2 linked regions of the Arabidopsis thaliana genome follow. The protein of the gene in region 1 interacts with the protein of each later gene in a pairwise test. Each region holds a gene or a part of one and is shown on either strand. Other genes may lie near its edges.

What was found.
Region 2: the proteins of FRL1 (region 1) and FRI interact in a two-hybrid assay, tested with the Arabidopsis thaliana proteins (one study listed by BioGRID).

What each region holds. Positions count from the first base shown.
Region 1 is NC_003076.8:5,342,928-5,350,631, forward strand, and holds FRL1 (FRIGIDA like 1), read left to right. Parts: upstream 1-1,567; 5' UTR 1,568-1,579; coding exon 1,580-2,992; 3' UTR 2,993-3,179; downstream 3,180-7,704. Other genes in the region: UCH1 (Peptidase C12, ubiquitin carboxyl-terminal hydrolase 1), read right to left, coding at 1-428, 509-611, 701-794, 1,196-1,226; AT5G16330 (NC domain-containing protein-like protein), read right to left, coding at 3,236-3,846, 3,933-4,050; AT5G16340 (AMP-dependent synthetase and ligase family protein), read right to left, coding at 6,328-7,704. UniProt on the Arabidopsis thaliana protein: Required for FRI-mediated up-regulation of FLC transcripts, but not redundant with FRI and only partially redundant with FRL2. Required for the stabilization of the FRI-C complex.
Region 2 is NC_003075.7:265,273-274,143, forward strand, and holds FRI (FRIGIDA-like protein), read left to right. Parts: upstream 1-3,628; 5' UTR 3,629-3,753; coding exon 3,754-4,692; intron 4,693-5,085; coding exon 5,086-5,091; 3' UTR 5,092-5,258; intron 5,259-5,347; 3' UTR 5,348-6,214; downstream 6,215-8,871. Other genes in the region: KEA2 (K+ efflux antiporter 2), read right to left, coding at 78-137, 236-372, 555-645, 740-911, 1,007-2,517; AT4G00651 (Fe superoxide dismutase), read right to left, coding at 6,215-6,452, 6,558-6,607.

The sequences.
Region 1 (7,704 bases):
ATCTCATTCTGCGAATACCGGTCAATCTGCTCTTGTACCACAGGTTGGACCATTCTGAGCCACTCGATTCCTTCTGGCTCACCCAGACACTGTCCAAGACTAATGGGTCCTTCTTTAAGACCATCGAGCTCATATAAGATACCATCAACAGGTAAGTAGCTGATGTAATGATACACATCATCATCTTCGTCTAGATTTTTCGCAGCAGCTAATTCTTCATCTTCCATGATGGAAGACGGGTCAGGCCTGGCAAATGTGTTGTGAGCTGCACGTATTGCCTCATTGTTGTTGATGGCTAAACCTTTCAGTTCAGGAGGAAATTCTTTGGCGAATTGTTTCAGTTCTGATAGTTCTGAGCCAATATCAATACTCGAAGAGTTCATGAGGACTGATAATATCGCTTGGGTCGCACAAGCATTGTTGATTATCTGCAAGAAACACATAGTTTATAAAAAAGGTAATGATTGGAAAATCCGTGAGTCACAAATCTAATGTGAGAGTAAAAGACCTGGCTTGCAAAGAAGAAATTCGGGTTTGGCTCTGTGATGACAACACGATTCTCCTTTTCTTCTGGACGCCACTTGTAAAGCAATATCAATCCATAGACAGGTCTGCAAATATCAGACAACTCAAGGTAAATTTGACTTTGTTTTTCTTCTGTTTCGAACAATAGAAGATGAAAGAGTAACAAGTAAACTACCTTATTTCATCCAGAGAGTTGAAGTCCAAGGAATACAATTCCTCAACCTGCACACCTTTCACTTGCATTTGTTGTATAATCTCAGTGAAAATACCTAAAAATATAGAATACAGAAAACCAAAAAATATGAAGAAATAACAAACAAGAAAGCGACATTGGTCTTACTCACATATATGGCACAATGGCTATCGAGAGACACTAATCCACTTAGTATAAGACAAACACCATTGTTGATATATAATTTCAAAAAGCATCAATACTTTTATTTTCCAATCCTCACACAGTAAGTATCACCTCTTGTAGATGCAGAGAAGACTATTTTCAACATTTGTTGGCTTCTAATTTGACAAAATCCAAACATAAATCAGATTCTACAGGAAGCCAAGACTATTTTCCAAACATTTTTAGTGCTCCACTATCAAAACCTCGTTACTGACATCATCTCTTTATATATCCAGAAAACAGGAACCCCAAATTGTTAAAGAGAATATATACCAGGATCAGATTCTACAGGAAGCCAAGACATGGTTCAACGATGACTCGCGCCGGTGAAAATGGGTCTGAATTTAGAATTTTCACTCTCAAATTCGCGCTTATCTATCTCCTCCCATCGATTTCATCGTCTTCACGCTAGCTGCAGACTCGAAAGAGAGACTATAGACTGGTGTGGTCTCGATTTTGTCTTAATAGAGGTCGCTCTAAACCGAGTAGAAACGAAATTGAATTCATCCAAACCATTTCAATTTCTATAAATCGAACCAAATCAAGTGAAAAACAATTCGGTTCTGGTTTTATTAAACTTACTCGAACCGAACCGAACCGATAACGTTCTTATATATCCTTGCCGGAGAGAGCCAAAGAAATCTTAGAGATCAAACAATGACGGCGAGTGAGACTATCGCCACCGCGATAAATCAGATTGATGAGAAGAAGGAAAAGCTAAAGAAAGCTTTCGACGATCTTCAAGCTCATCGCTCTCTCCTTTCACCGTCTTTCTCACTTTCCTGGTCTGAGATCGATTCTCACTTTTCCTCTCTCCAATCCTCCCTTGCTAGCCGTTTCCGCCTCCTCCACTCTACATCTCCTTTGGAACATGATTCGTATAGAATCGACGCTTCTGATGCAGGGAAATCGTCGTCTTCGGAGGAGGTATCGGAGCAACCCGTTGTTGAGCCGGAGTTGAGAGCCTTGTGTGAGAAGATTGACGGAATTGGTTTGATTAAGTATTTGATTAGGATATGGGATGATGAAACTCCTCTCAATCAGGAAGTTTCTGCAGCGATTCGTTACTCTCCGGATACGGCGTCCATGGTGCTTGACGCGATTGAAGGTTCGAACTACACACCGTCATCATCGGGAAGATCATTCGATGTAAGGAGAGTTTTCGTTTTGTTAATGGAAGTTTTGATTGAGATCAATGCGAATATCACTGTTGATACGAGAAATAGAGCTAAGAAACTGGCTTACCATTGGAAATCTAAGGTTGGTGTCAAGCCTTTCGAGGCGTTAGTGTTTCTGCATTTGGTCGCAGCTTTTGAATTAGGATCAGAATTTGACACAGAGGAGCTTTCTGATTACGTTTTCATGATCGCTAAGTATAAGCAAGCAACTTTGGTTTGTAACAAGATTGGTGTAGATAGGAAAAGAGTTGGGAAACTCATCAAGACTCTCTTGGATTCTGGTAAACCAATTTTAGCAGTCAAATTCATGTATGAGTGTGGGATGACTGATGAATTTGAGCCAATCCCTGTTTTGAAATCTTACATTAAGGACTGTAGAGAAGCTGCTCTTAGAGTTTGCGTGGAAGATAACTACTCTCTCAAGTCGCAGAACGAAGCCTCTGATAAAGAAGTCAGTGCCTTGAAACCATTGATCAAAATCATCAAAGATCAGAACCTTGAATCAGAGTTTACTCAGGAGAAAGTTGAGGAACGTGTAGAAGAGCTGGAGAAAAATAAGGCATTGAGGAAACGCAACACGACTAATCCTCCCAAGCAAGAGCCACAGCAAAAGGGGAAAAAGCGGACTAGAGACTGCAAAAATGGGTCACAAGTTCCAGTTCCGAGTCAGCAGCTACTTTCTAGACCAGAAGCTCTTCTTATGCCTGAGCATAGTCATCATGGCTTACAGTTGAACCCTTATGGTCTTATGACCTCAGCATTTTCTGGTGTTGTTGTGAACCCATTAACTGGGCTCTTTGGTTCAGGTGCAACTCCTCAATCTCTTTACTATGCTCAGCAAACTGGATATGTGTTGCCGCCTCAATACCACCCGCCTTATTATTCTCAGTAGCTAGCTGCATCTCGACAATAAGATCTTAATCTCCTCAATGTAAAATGTTATCTTTGTAGAATATTTGCCTTGATGGAAAGTAAAAAAATCATTCTAACTCTATGTCTGAGGAATCTCATTCTTTGTTTTTTTGGTTTATATAGAATAGTAGTGAATTTTTCTACAATATTGGATCATGTTTCCTACATTATAGATTCTTCGAAGAATTCGCCTACCCGCCCGTTGGCGTGTCTTCAAACCTCATCACCTTCTATTTCTAGAGGTACCAGTAGCATATGCGCGAGGAACGAGGCTCTCGACGGGCACCTTAATAGCATCCTTTCTCATACCAATATCTGCAAATAGCTGAATAGCTTTGCTGCCGAAAGGACTAAGTTGCGCAAGCCACGCAGCTGCACTCACTGAGCTGGCTTGACCGCCCCTTCCCAACACATAGTCTTTTCCGACCAGCAAGCTTGTTTTACAATATATTGCAAAATCTTCACAATTGTTTTCCAAAGCATGGTAATCACCAAACCCATTCCGCAATAAGAGGTATTTGGCGCGGGAAATGACTTCATCGCAGGGATCCGAAGGTGCTATAGTGCATGTGCCGCGTCGAGGTTTGGCGATAAATGCAGCTGGAGAGACACTGTACTCGAAAAGATAGATGTTTCCTCCGGCGAGAAAGCAGTCAAGGCAAGAAGAGATTACACCTTCGAGATTCAATTGCTCTTCACAATTAGAACAAGGATTGTCTCCTTTATGATTAGGGATGACACTAACGACGATCTTGTCCAAGAAGGTCCCAGTTCCAGTTTCTAGACCACCTCCACAAGTGAAATGAATGACTTTCTCATCGCCTATATATATTCCTGAGGATGAGCATCAAATATTTGATTATCTTTGATGCAATCCGAAACAAAAAAAAAGTCACGTTATTGAGAGATAGAGACTGAACCGTGATGAGAGTAGATATAAGCGTTACGCCATGAATAGATGTGATCTCCTGGTTTAAGTTTATCTCTGGAGATTTGGTTTGAGATAAATCCTATCTTCTCCAGAAAGTGGGAATCCATTTTGATGACTATCTCTCTTCCTAGCTTTGTTATGGTTGTGATTTTATAACCAAAATTTAAAGTCAGCAGCCATATTGTTTTTTTACGTCTGTAGCTGAATGTTTCTTCTTTATTGGCTTTAGTAAAAGGAGTAGTGGTATTAAAATAAGAGAAAATTTGATTTCAGAGTCTTCCCATCTATCTTTGTCAACTTATATCCCCCCTGCACGAACTTTCTTCCCCTACAAGGCAGGAGAAACAGTTATGTGAGTCTACGAAAGTTCCTTTGTCGAATATGTTACTTGTGATCAATATCCATACAGCATAACATAAAATATAGAGTTGGACAATTCAACAAAAGCAGCCGCAGATCCTCTACTTCACAACAACAACTAGGTAAGTTAGTTACTGATAGCTCAGAAAGAGCCAAGAAAGTGTCTTCGTCTTCTACGACGGCATATTCGTGGAAGCAGTTTCATCGATTCCGGCTCACTGAAGCGGCGTCACTCTTAAAACGAAACAACACCTCTGAAGCAGCATAAACCAAAGAACTGCTGGTTTATTTAATCCAGCTGATGACTTTGGTTGGATTCTGTTATATTGTTCTTTCATAATCTAAAGAGTCTTGAAGAGTTCATTTCTTGGACAATTAATGTTACCAAAATTGTATTTCCATTTGATAAATAGTTAAAACACAGTTTTCACAATACAAAACAAAGCAGAAAAGCAAAATCTCTCTTACTCAACAACTAGTGATCAAACAAACATCAATAACGTCAATTAACTAGACTTGTTCTTTTCCATGAGTTCAATAAGGAAAACGAGCCTTTCCACAGGAACCTAATTAACATCGGATCTCATACCAATGTCGGAATGCAAACGATTCATACAATACTTACTATACCCACCAACCAACACCAGACCACCAACTTCCAGAAACGGGAACTACATATCGAAGTGTCGAAGAAAACACAGAAGCAGAAAAGCAAAATCTTTCTTTACTCAAACTAATTAGTCATCAAACATACATAATGCACATACTCGCCGAAAAAAACATACATAATGCAGATCGGTTTTTCTTGTTTTTGGGCATGTGTGCCGTATTAGGCAGTTTATGCCTTGTAAGATTTATAATTATGGGCCTGCGTGCTTTTGTTGGCGTCATGGACCTTGTAATTGTTTGGGTTTAATAGGAAAAAAGAGAGAAAGAAAAAATGTGCTAAGACCATCCTTATTCATGGGTTCTTAATAAAATTCTTAACATTTTTATATATAAAATAATAATTAAATATTAGGAGGCTCTTAATAAGTTAAGAGAATGTATCAAAAATCTCTTATTTAAGAGCCAATTTAACTTTTCTAAGAACTCTTTTCTATTTTTTATTCATATTTTATCTTATATAATATTTTAAGAATTTTTCTAAACTTTTTGAAAACCCATTGATAATGATGCTCTAACACTTCTTGTTCTCCATTATGCATTGCTTGGCTCCTACAAGGCTACAACTACAACAAGCTCTTCCACAGAAACCTAGCAAGTATATATCATTTCTATCACCAATGTCGTAAAACAAGTGACTAATACAGTAGTTACCATATTCCGTCAAAGCCATATTACCAAAACCAGGAAGTGCATATCTAACTATAGAAGAGATAACCTGGTTAGCAACCACCAGCTGCAGTCTGCAGACATCGGACTGGCTTGACCACTAGTCCACTACTTGTAAACTTGGTAACGATCGCTAAAAAAATAACCAAACCAGTTTTGCAATAAATTGCAAAATCTTCACAATATTTGTCTAAAAGATCATACGTACCCACTAAACTCATTTCTCCATAAGGGAAATTAAGACACTTGTTGTCACTTCCTCCAGAATGAAGACATTTTTATACAGAGATGAGGTTAAGGATTGGAAGAAGTAATATTTACTCTCACAGAAATATAGTAACATATGTTTTATGTAGGAAAGCGAAAGCTTGACAATTAGGGTTTAGGTTTTCTGTTTTCTCATTAAAACATTAAAGAATCTAATAAAATGAAACACACTAAAAAAGATTCTTAAACATCTTACATAAGCTCATAGGCAATATATATTTTTAAGAATATTCCAATTTCCAAACAGCGTGAAAACAAATAAACCCCAAACCATTTTGTTACATATAAAGGAAACACATCCCGTATACAATAGATGGATTACAAATATAGATTAAGCCATTGTCCATTGGTACAACATATGCATTCCATAAAATTAGAATCAATGTGATTCGTAATTTTGTGGAACGGTGAAAGAAAGACGTTTAAGAAATTGTCTTATCACCCATCTTCTTTGCAATGTCCCTAAGCACAAACTTCGTAACCTTTCCCGTCGAACTCTTAGGCAACTCATCCATAAACGACACCGTTTTAGGAACCATATACTTGGGCATCTTCTTTCTACAATACTCCATCAATTCCTCCTCCGTAGGTTTCCCACTAAACCCATTTTTCAAACTCACAAACGCACACGGTGTCTCTCCCCAAAACTCATCAGGTCTAGCCACCACCGCCACTTCATTCACCGCCGGAATCGTGTACAACACCGTTTCAACCTCAACACTACTCACATTCTCACCTCCCGTTATAATTATATCTTTCGATCTATCTTTAATCTCTAGATAACCATCGGAATGAATCACACCAACATCTCCGGTGTAAAACCACCCGTTCTTTAAAGCTTTCTCTGTTCCGACCGGATCTTTTAAGTAACCGAGCATGACCGAGCTTCCTCTCATCACAATTTCTCCGACAGTTTCTCCATTTCTCTCAACGCTCAAACCCGATTCAGGATCCACCACGTCGATTTCAGTAAACCCGACGGTTCTCACTCCTTGCCGTGCCTTCAATCTCGCTCGATCGCTTGCCGGTAAATGATTCCATTTTGGCTTCCACGCGCACGAGACGATTACACCGGCGGTTTCCGTTAATCCGTAACCGTGACTGATAACGAAACCAATTGATTCGGCTCGGAGGAGGACGGTAGCTGGAGGCGGAGAACCGGCGGTTAAGATGTTGACGGGATGGTTAAGAGGCTGAGATTCCTGAGTCGCGGATAACATGTTGAGCACCACCGGAGCTCCACACATGTGTGTGACGCCGTGATCACGGATCAGACGGTAGATTAACGGCGCGTCAAATTTACGCAAACAGACGTTAGTTCCTCCGACGGCGGCGATTCCCCATGGATTGGTCCAACCGTTAGAGTGAAATATCGGTAGAGTCCATAAGTAAACCGGATTTTTCGGTACGGCCCAATCAATTAGTGAATCAACTGACATTACGAAAATTCCTCTGTGGCAGTGTACCACTCCTTTAGGAGCTGAAGTCGTACCGGAAGTGTAATTAAGCACAACCGGATCCCATTCGCTTTCGGGTCGGATCCATTTAAAACCCGGATCACCTCTTTCGATAAGATCATCGTAAGTGTAACTGAATTTTGAAAGATCAGCCACGTCAGCAACTCCTCCTTCCTCTTCTTTATCGGCGATGACGACGAGAATCGGCGGATCAGTCGTCATCATCGAGACCGCTTCAACGGCGAGATCAACGGAGAAGACGTCGACGAAAAGAAGCTTAGATTCACAGTGACGGAGAAGAACAGAGACGGTGCGTGCGTCGAGGCGTGTGTTGATGTTGTT
Region 2 (8,871 bases), on another chromosome or scaffold:
AATGACTAAACTACGGCAATATAGACAGAAACAGGCATGCATTGTAGCTCAAAAAAATAAAGAGAGTCTCAAATCACCTGCGCGGAGCCTAATCCAAAAACATATTTCTTCATGGAACTAAGCCTTTCGACAGAGAGCTGTCAGACAAATAGAATCGAAATAATTGGCTCTTCTTTCCACTAAGCACATATCAAAGGAAAAAGGAACAACATATATATCAAATACTGAAGTTAACCTCAAGGCCAATGTTGAAAAGCAAGAAGACAACTCCAAATTCTGCAATGGCCTTGGTTCCATGCACATTACGAATTATTGAGAGACCATAAGGACCAATCAAGATTCCCGCCGCCAAATACCCAAGAACAGGGCTGCCTATAGATTGCAGCAGAAGAAACCAACAAGATAGCATTTAAATCTCTATGCATTATGATTGCGGCAACAGAAGTGAAATGGTTTGTCTGATGATAACAATGAATAGTACAAGTCCAAATGAAACAAGGAGGACAAAATATGGGGATTTAAAATACAATGAGTGAATTAATATATTACGTTACCTCCAGGAATTTTCTGAAATAGAGGCACGAATATGACGCTTGCAAGCAGTAACCACAACACATCGAGAAGGGAAGCTTCCTCCTCATTAACCTAAGTGTTATAAAAGTTGGAGGCAGACAGTTAAATTCCATAAGGTATGTATGGGACTCGTGAAAGAGTACATTTCCTGCATGACCACTCATACCTCTTGCTGAGGGAACATCTCAAGTAGTTTCTTTATTCTCTTTGGAAGTTTCTGCATCTGACGGATCAGAGGTTTTGTGCTGGAGGAAACATCTTCTGCGCTAGTGCTGACAATATTTGGCTGTTGTGGCAGCTGATTGTTCCTTCCTACTCCGTTGGAATAGATTGCCACTCTAGAATGAATCAGAAAACTTGCTATTAAAAAAAAACAGACAAAAAAGTTTATGGTTTATCATAATTCGTCAAAACAATTGAGTATCCAACTAACCCTGCCCCAAGAAGTGTAAATCCAAGAATTAGCTTAGGCCACTGCTGTTTCGCAGATTCAACTAAACTCTCAAAAACTGTTGCGGTTCCATCCCCATTGGAAGAGAAGAAAGATGCAGGAAAGAAACGAGAGGATTTCTTCAATGATGTCTTGGTACCATTATGAGATGAACTCTCCCTTGGCAGATCTTTCTGCACTTCCTGTTTTTTTGTCAGAACAACATTCTTTGACTTCTCTGCTTCTCCTTCAGCCTCTTTAGCAAAATCTGCAGTTGGCTTTCCGTTCTCATTATCTGACTCGTAAGACTGAGTCCCAACATCTGATGAAACTCCAACTACTACTAAGTCTCTTTCAGCCTGATGGCTTACATCAACAATTTCACTCAAGACTTCATCCTCACCAACAATAGTATTCTTTCCATCCAATACCTTTCCCTGGGTTGTTTCTTGGGTTTGGGAACCAAAAAGAGTCTTCTCTGCTCTTTGCAAAGCAATCTCTGCATCATTCACACGTTGAGTAGCCTCAAGCTCAAATGCCACAGCTTGTTCGGCCAAAACCATGATATTTGCAACATCCTCCTCGGCTTTCAATGCGCTGATCTGCGCTCTCTCGGCAGCCTCATTCAATCTATCTACTTCCTTCTGCAGCTCGTCCTTCTTAACTTGCAAACGCCTGAGTTGTTCCTCACAGCTTGCTAAATTTTCTTGGCATTCTTTTATGTCAGCCTTAGCAGATAAAAGGGCTTCCTCTTTATCTTTAACACCATCTCTAACCTCACTCTCTTCAGAAGTATTGTACCCTTCTGCTTCTAGTGATTCAAGTGCAACCTGCAGCCTTGCTTCAGCCAGAGATAATGCCATAGTAGCCTTCTGAACAGCTTCTTTAGCAACGGACTCTTCATCAACAGCCTCTTGAACCACATTAAGTGTTTGGTTTACATCGTTCCACGCACTGGCTGCTTCATCCTTAAGTGCTATCGCTACCTCTGAAATCCTCTGAGCCTTTTCTTCAAACATGGTACTGTTGAGACTAGCCACTTCCAATTCTTTAGTTGCCTTATTCAGTAGATCCCTGAGTTCCTCCAAACTAGGTGCAGAATCTTGCTCTCTTGTGTCTTTCTCTTCCTTAGAAAACGTAACCTCCCTGTCATCACTACCTTCAGCAAATTCCAAATTCCGGTCATTCCCAACCAAATCTCCTACAGAATCGCTACTTTGACAAAGTAACCTAAACCCCAGCGGAACATTTTGGGGTTTTGCAGGAAGCAAATGACCGTAAAATCTTCCATTGAAATCAGCATTCAAAGTCAAAGAAGAACGATACGATACATTTCGTTTCGATCTAATAGCTGAGCGAACTTTAGAATCAATCATCGGATCCCAAAATCTAGTGCCGCCGAGTCCTTTGGGACAGAGTTTCGCACTTATCATTCGATTCGGCAAGCAGTAACTCGCAAAATCCGCACCACCGTGAAACATACTCTGGCGCTGAACGCTAGACGCAAAATCCATATTACTGCTGCAGAAAGACGGAGAGAACAAGAGACTGACCGATCATAAGAGAAGAGAGCTTCAAGGCTTCAGCTGATGAAGAATCAATGGCGGCGAGAGTGAGTGAGAATCGAGTAGTTACTGAGAGGAAGATGAAACGTATCTCCTGAGAAAAAACGTAAGAGAGTTCCGTTTCAACAGTATTTTTCTCGGCGGTCTTCAGATTTTCCGTCCAACTCTCTCTTTCCTCTTTCAGTTTTTTTTTGCCCAATCACTCGTGGTAGGATTTTTTTATAAGAAAGTTACGAAAATGCCCTCTCGTGCTTAGAGAGATTCAATTCGTGCACATATAATATGCCGTGAATATACCACCAACTCTCTTACTCGTACTCGCATGTGGTGCGTGCAATATACACGTGGTTCGAATCAACGGCTACGTTTTACTGATAGGTGGCTCGTTTAGTTTTGCACTGCCTTTGGGTGCGCGTGACCAAGTCATTTTCCAAATGTGTTTTAATATTTGTGAACTATTATTAATAAAAAAGCGAGCGACGTTGTTCGTTGATGAGGGAGCGACCGTACGCTTGGCGACCTTCTCTGATTGCGTAGAGTCGTTTTCCTTATTGGGCTTACCTAGTACCGTCAGCCCACAATGTTTTCATTTCTTTCCCACCTAAAACTAAAAGTACTCACAAGTCACAACTTAAACCAAGTACACAAGGATTTTATCATGGGATTATCGTGTTTGAAGACTAAAAAGAGCACACCATCACCCCCATTAGTGCAGGTAGAGTAAGACAGTAACTTTTGGGTTCATATTACCGAGCAAGAACCGTTATTTGTGATTAGACATGTTATAAACCACTGCTTTAGTGACTATTTAAAACAATATATTACATGTCGTAATCATGCAACCTAACTATGTTTTCATTAATCAAATACAAAGAATAAAGAGAAAAGTGCGTAGATTCAATTATTTGGCATAGACTCAAAAGAGTGTATATATATCTGACTTTTATTAAATTATTAAACACAAATACATATTTTCATAAGCAAAACTATAAAAGCCCTAAACATATAACGATTACCTCAAAGGAAAAAGTCGTTTTCTCCTAATTAAAAGATAGGTTACTTCCTAATTAATATATAATTTATGTGAACTTCACAATATACAGTTCAATAAAATTTGGTAATTTGACCGATTTAAGGAGAGTGGAAATTAGGGCTTCTGCAATCTTTTTTCTTCGCCGCAATCTCATGTCCAATTATCCACCGACGGTGGCGGCGCAACCCACAACGACGGCGAATCCACTGCTGCAGCGACATCAATCTGAACAGCGACGAAGAGAATTACCGAAGATTGTCGAAACAGAGTCTACAAGTATGGACATTACGATCGGTCAATCTAAGCAGCCTCAATTTTTGAAATCCATAGACGAATTAGCTGCGTTTTCAGTTGCAGTGGAAACATTCAAACGCCAATTCGATGATCTTCAGAAGCACATCGAGTCAATCGAAAACGCAATTGATTCCAAACTCGAGAGTAACGGCGTTGTCCTCGCCGCGCGGAACAATAATTTCCATCAGCCGATGTTATCGCCTCCGCGGAACAATGTATCTGTAGAAACCACCGTCACTGTGAGCCAACCGTCTCAGGAGATTGTACCGGAGACGTCGAATAAACCGGAGGGGGAACGTATATGTGAGTTGATGTGTAGCAAAGGTCTGCGTAAATACATATACGCGAATATCTCTGATCAAGCTAAGTTAATGGAAGAGATTCCTTCAGCTTTGAAATTGGCCAAGGAGCCAGCGAAGTTTGTATTGGATTGTATTGGCAAGTTTTACTTACAAGGGCGTAGAGCATTTACTAAAGAGTCGCCTATGAGCTCTGCGAGACAAGTTTCGCTTCTTATACTGGAGTCTTTTCTTCTAATGCCTGATCGTGGTAAAGGGAAGGTGAAGATTGAGAGTTGGATTAAAGATGAGGCGGAGACGGCTGCTGTTGCTTGGAGGAAAAGGTTGATGACTGAAGGAGGATTAGCTGCGGCTGAGAAAATGGATGCAAGGGGTTTGCTTTTACTAGTTGCTTGTTTTGGTGTTCCTTCAAACTTTAGGAGTACAGATTTGCTGGATTTGATAAGGATGAGTGGTTCGAATGAGATTGCCGGTGCTTTGAAGCGGTCACAGTTTCAGGTACCATATTCTGTTCTCACTCGGTGAATTTCATTGCAAAGGTGGTTCCTTTTGTTGACATCATCGACCAACATCAAGTTCCATCTTTGTTTTTCGATAAGCTTGATGGTATAAACTAGGAGAGCACATCAAATATTTAGAGTGCAATGACTGATTGAGCCAAATCCTAGCTAGAAATTAATCTGGAAAGAACTTGGAACTCTCAACCATAGGTTTTGGTACGAAATTGTTGCTTGTCAGAACCAAATGATAGGCTATTGCCTTGAAATAGTGTTTCTTGTGGTTTCCAATATTGGAAGTTAAAATCATATGACTTAGCTGTTGGATACTAATTAAGCTTAAGCAATGCCAACTCTAAGAAGTGGTACTTACACAATATTCTATTGGTCATAGGTATAGTTGAATCAAGTATCAAGCGTGGAATGCATATTGAAGCTCTTGAAATGGTTTATACCTTTGGCATGGAGGATAAGTTTTCAGCTGCTCTAGTTCTAACTTCATTCTTAAAGATGAGCAAGGAGTCATTTGAGAGGGCAAAACGGAAAGCCCAGTCACCGCTGGCATTTGTATGAACCCTTCCCTTGCACATTATGTACCTTTATGAACTCTTTATCATCATCTGAGTCTGACCATTGATATATTTATTTCTCAACAGAAAGAAGCGGCTACAAAGCAGCTAGCTGTGTTATCATCAGTTATGCAGTGTATGGAGACTCACAAGTTAGATCCTGCGAAAGAACTACCAGGATGGCAGATCAAAGAGCAAATTGTTAGCTTGGAGAAAGACACTCTTCAGCTCGACAAAGAGATGGAAGAGAAAGCAAGATCTCTCAGTTTAATGGAGGAAGCCGCACTTGCCAAGAGAATGTATAACCAACAGATAAAACGTCCAAGGTTATCACCCATGGAAATGCCACCAGTAACTTCTTCATCGTATTCTCCTATCTACCGTGATAGAAGCTTTCCTAGTCAAAGAGACGATGACCAAGATGAAATATCAGCTCTTGTGAGTAGTTACCTCGGCCCGTCAACATCTTTTCCTCATCGCTCAAGAAGATCCCCGGAATATATGGTTCCACTTCCACATGGTGGGTTAGGAAGAAGTGTATATGCATATGAACATCTGGCCCCAAATTCATATTCTCCAGGTCACGGACATAGACTTCATCGACAGTACTCTCCGTCTTTGGTTCACGGACAGAGACATCCACTACAGTACTCTCCTCCAATTCATGGACAACAACAGTTACCATATGGTATACAAAGGGTTTACAGACATTCACCATCTGAAGAAAGATATTTGGGTTTATCCAATCAAAGGTCTCCTCGCAGTAACTCATCATTAGACCCCAAATAGGAGGAATGTAAATTTGTAACAAAGCTTTTTGTTTTTGCTTAAGTTAGTCATTTATTTAACTCCCAACAGTCTCAAAATTTAATTTAATGTTTGGGGCTTAAGAATGCAAATTTTTTTGCTCCTGTAATTGACATTTAAGATGCTAATGTTATTGCTTCAGAGGTTTTAGTCAACCTCAGATACATCGATATCACTATCTAAATAGACCTCTGGCTCTTGGTCATCTGGATTCTCTTCATCTTCTGTCTCTGTTCCTTCTTGTTCTCGTTGCACTGCTCGAGCAATTGCGGATTCCAACCTTGTGCTTACAGTTTCCCATGACACAAGCTTTTCCATGAATGTATTTATGTCCGCCTTCTTATCTTTCTTGAGGAAGATGAATTCACCGAAGATCCAACTTGAGCTTGACAATCAATCAAATCCGAAACAGAAACAGAGCTTTTTGACATCTTTGATTTAGCAGTCTTTGATCTTGAGGAATATCAATGAACACTAGATACACTCACACTTGCAGGCTTTAAACTGGATTTTAAACATGAATAGAAGCATTGATTCCATGGAATGTGGTAAGTGACATAGCTGGACTTCTTAAACAAATGTATGAACGGGTAGGGTTCATTACAATGTAGTTATACAGCACTGAGATTTATGGAAGAAAAAAAGGACACAGCTTTAACTATCTACAGAGAGACAAGAACACTAAAGACAAGAGAATCATAAGTTCAGGAGTTCGTTAAAATGGCTCTATTCAAATCACACATTGGCACAAGACCACTAATAAGATACCAAGTGGGACAATCGAAAGATAATAAGAGATAGCATATCAGAGAGAGAGAGAGATTTTTTGAGGAGGGAGAAGTTCGCCGGAGGCTTCTGTTTCTAGTCGGCGTTGTGATTGGAATTGTTTGAGCGGTCTTTCCAGTCCCGGAATTGGAAACAAGAGGGCTAATTTTGGTCCTTTTGGAAAGATTTGAAACGACATCGTTATTAAGCCCTAATTCTACTATAACGATGTCGTTTACGAGAAACATACATATACATACTTGAGAATAAAGCCCATTACCAAGAGACCAATTTTGGTCTTTTTCGTATAGTATTAACTCTACGGCGATTGATCTAAGCCCAATAATTGTGGAACTTGCTCGACTTAGGTCTCAATCTCTATTTTCTACCAATGCCAAAAAACAATTTCCTTACAAATTTTTTATTTTTCCCATCAAAACAATTCCCACCAATTTACATTTAAAAATCATTGTAATCTATCACATTTCCTTACTTTTAAAACCATTTACAAATCTATTTATCGCCAAAACAAAAACGGGAAAAATGTTTTTGGAAAAAAAAAATTGACAGAAAAATTATTTTCGGAATATTTTTGGCGAAAAAAATCGATATTCTATTTTGTTAACCTAAAATATTTTCAAAATATGAGTAAAATAGTCATTAAAAATTAAATTAACGTATAAATGAAAATGACTAACAGGAAAGGTTATAATTAAAAAATGATAATTTTGGAAGAACATTTTTTACAATTTCTCTTTAATCATTAACCCTCGTTGTATGGAACTCCGGTGGCGTTGAGCCACGAATCTCTATTTATGAACTCTCTAACCGTAAACATGACTGCTTCCATCGGGTCTGTGATGATCTTGTTCCCATTCGGATGGACTCTCTGGCTTGCGTTTGCTCTGGGGCCTTTGTTTTGATATTCGCGGTAGAACAATGTGGACAAATCCCCACTAGTGCTGCTATTTCATGGAGTCCATCCCACTGGATCTATCAAAACATCCATTTAAGATTCCATAATCACCACCGTTGATAAATCACCCCACGGTCTTACTAGAAACATCTTCACCATTCTGTGAATGTCGACGTGTCGGTCGAGAGACTGTAAAAAGCCTACGTATTCATAGAATTTTTATTTTTATTTGTGATGTTTATGATAGTTTTTTGTTCACTTTATTTTTTTTGTTCAATCTATTTTAATTTTCTTAACACTGATATAAAAAATTTCATAGTTTATGTTGTGTATTTATTTTTTAATTTTTTATAATATTTAATTTAATTTTGTCAATTATTGTTTTATTTAATGTGTGAATTAATTTTAGCTGTAATGTTTTGATTTCAATAAATAAAATTTAGGCAGGCCACAATATGATGACTTGGATGTTGATGTAGACATCGTAGATCGAAAGTGAACTTTTCTATTATATAGACGTATTTTACTTATTTTTTGCTTAATTTATGCTTACTTTTGGTCAAATTATTTTCTCTTTATTATTCAAATTATTTCAATAATCATAACATATTGGTAGATATGTAGTCGCTATAAAAAATTTGGATGTAAATGTTAACTGATGAAATAAACTAGGCCTAATTTGTGTGAAAGTAGAAACCTATTAATTGTGAAAGTTTGAAATTCCATAATCTCGGTCGCATATTGAATACTCAACATATAATTTTGGTAGTGTTTGAAGAATCATATTTGAGACATAATCAGGTATAATGAATAAAAGCAGATGACACAGCAAACGAGGAAGATGTCATCACTTGTCACAAATCCAGTGCATAGATGGATCAAGTGCAATTCTGATGAAGTATAAAAACATTAGAGAAATACTCTGAAATTGGATGGATACTCTATGACGACCAGGTGGTGTTTGTAACATCTTGCATAGCGTTAATCTTGAGCTAAAAACAGCTTTAGAAGCTGAAAGATAGATTTTTGGGGTCAGACTGAAAACTTTAATTAAGTTAGGGTAAATATGTAAGGAAAAGGAAGTAATGTGTAATTTTATAAATTTCAGAAAGAAAGAAATGAA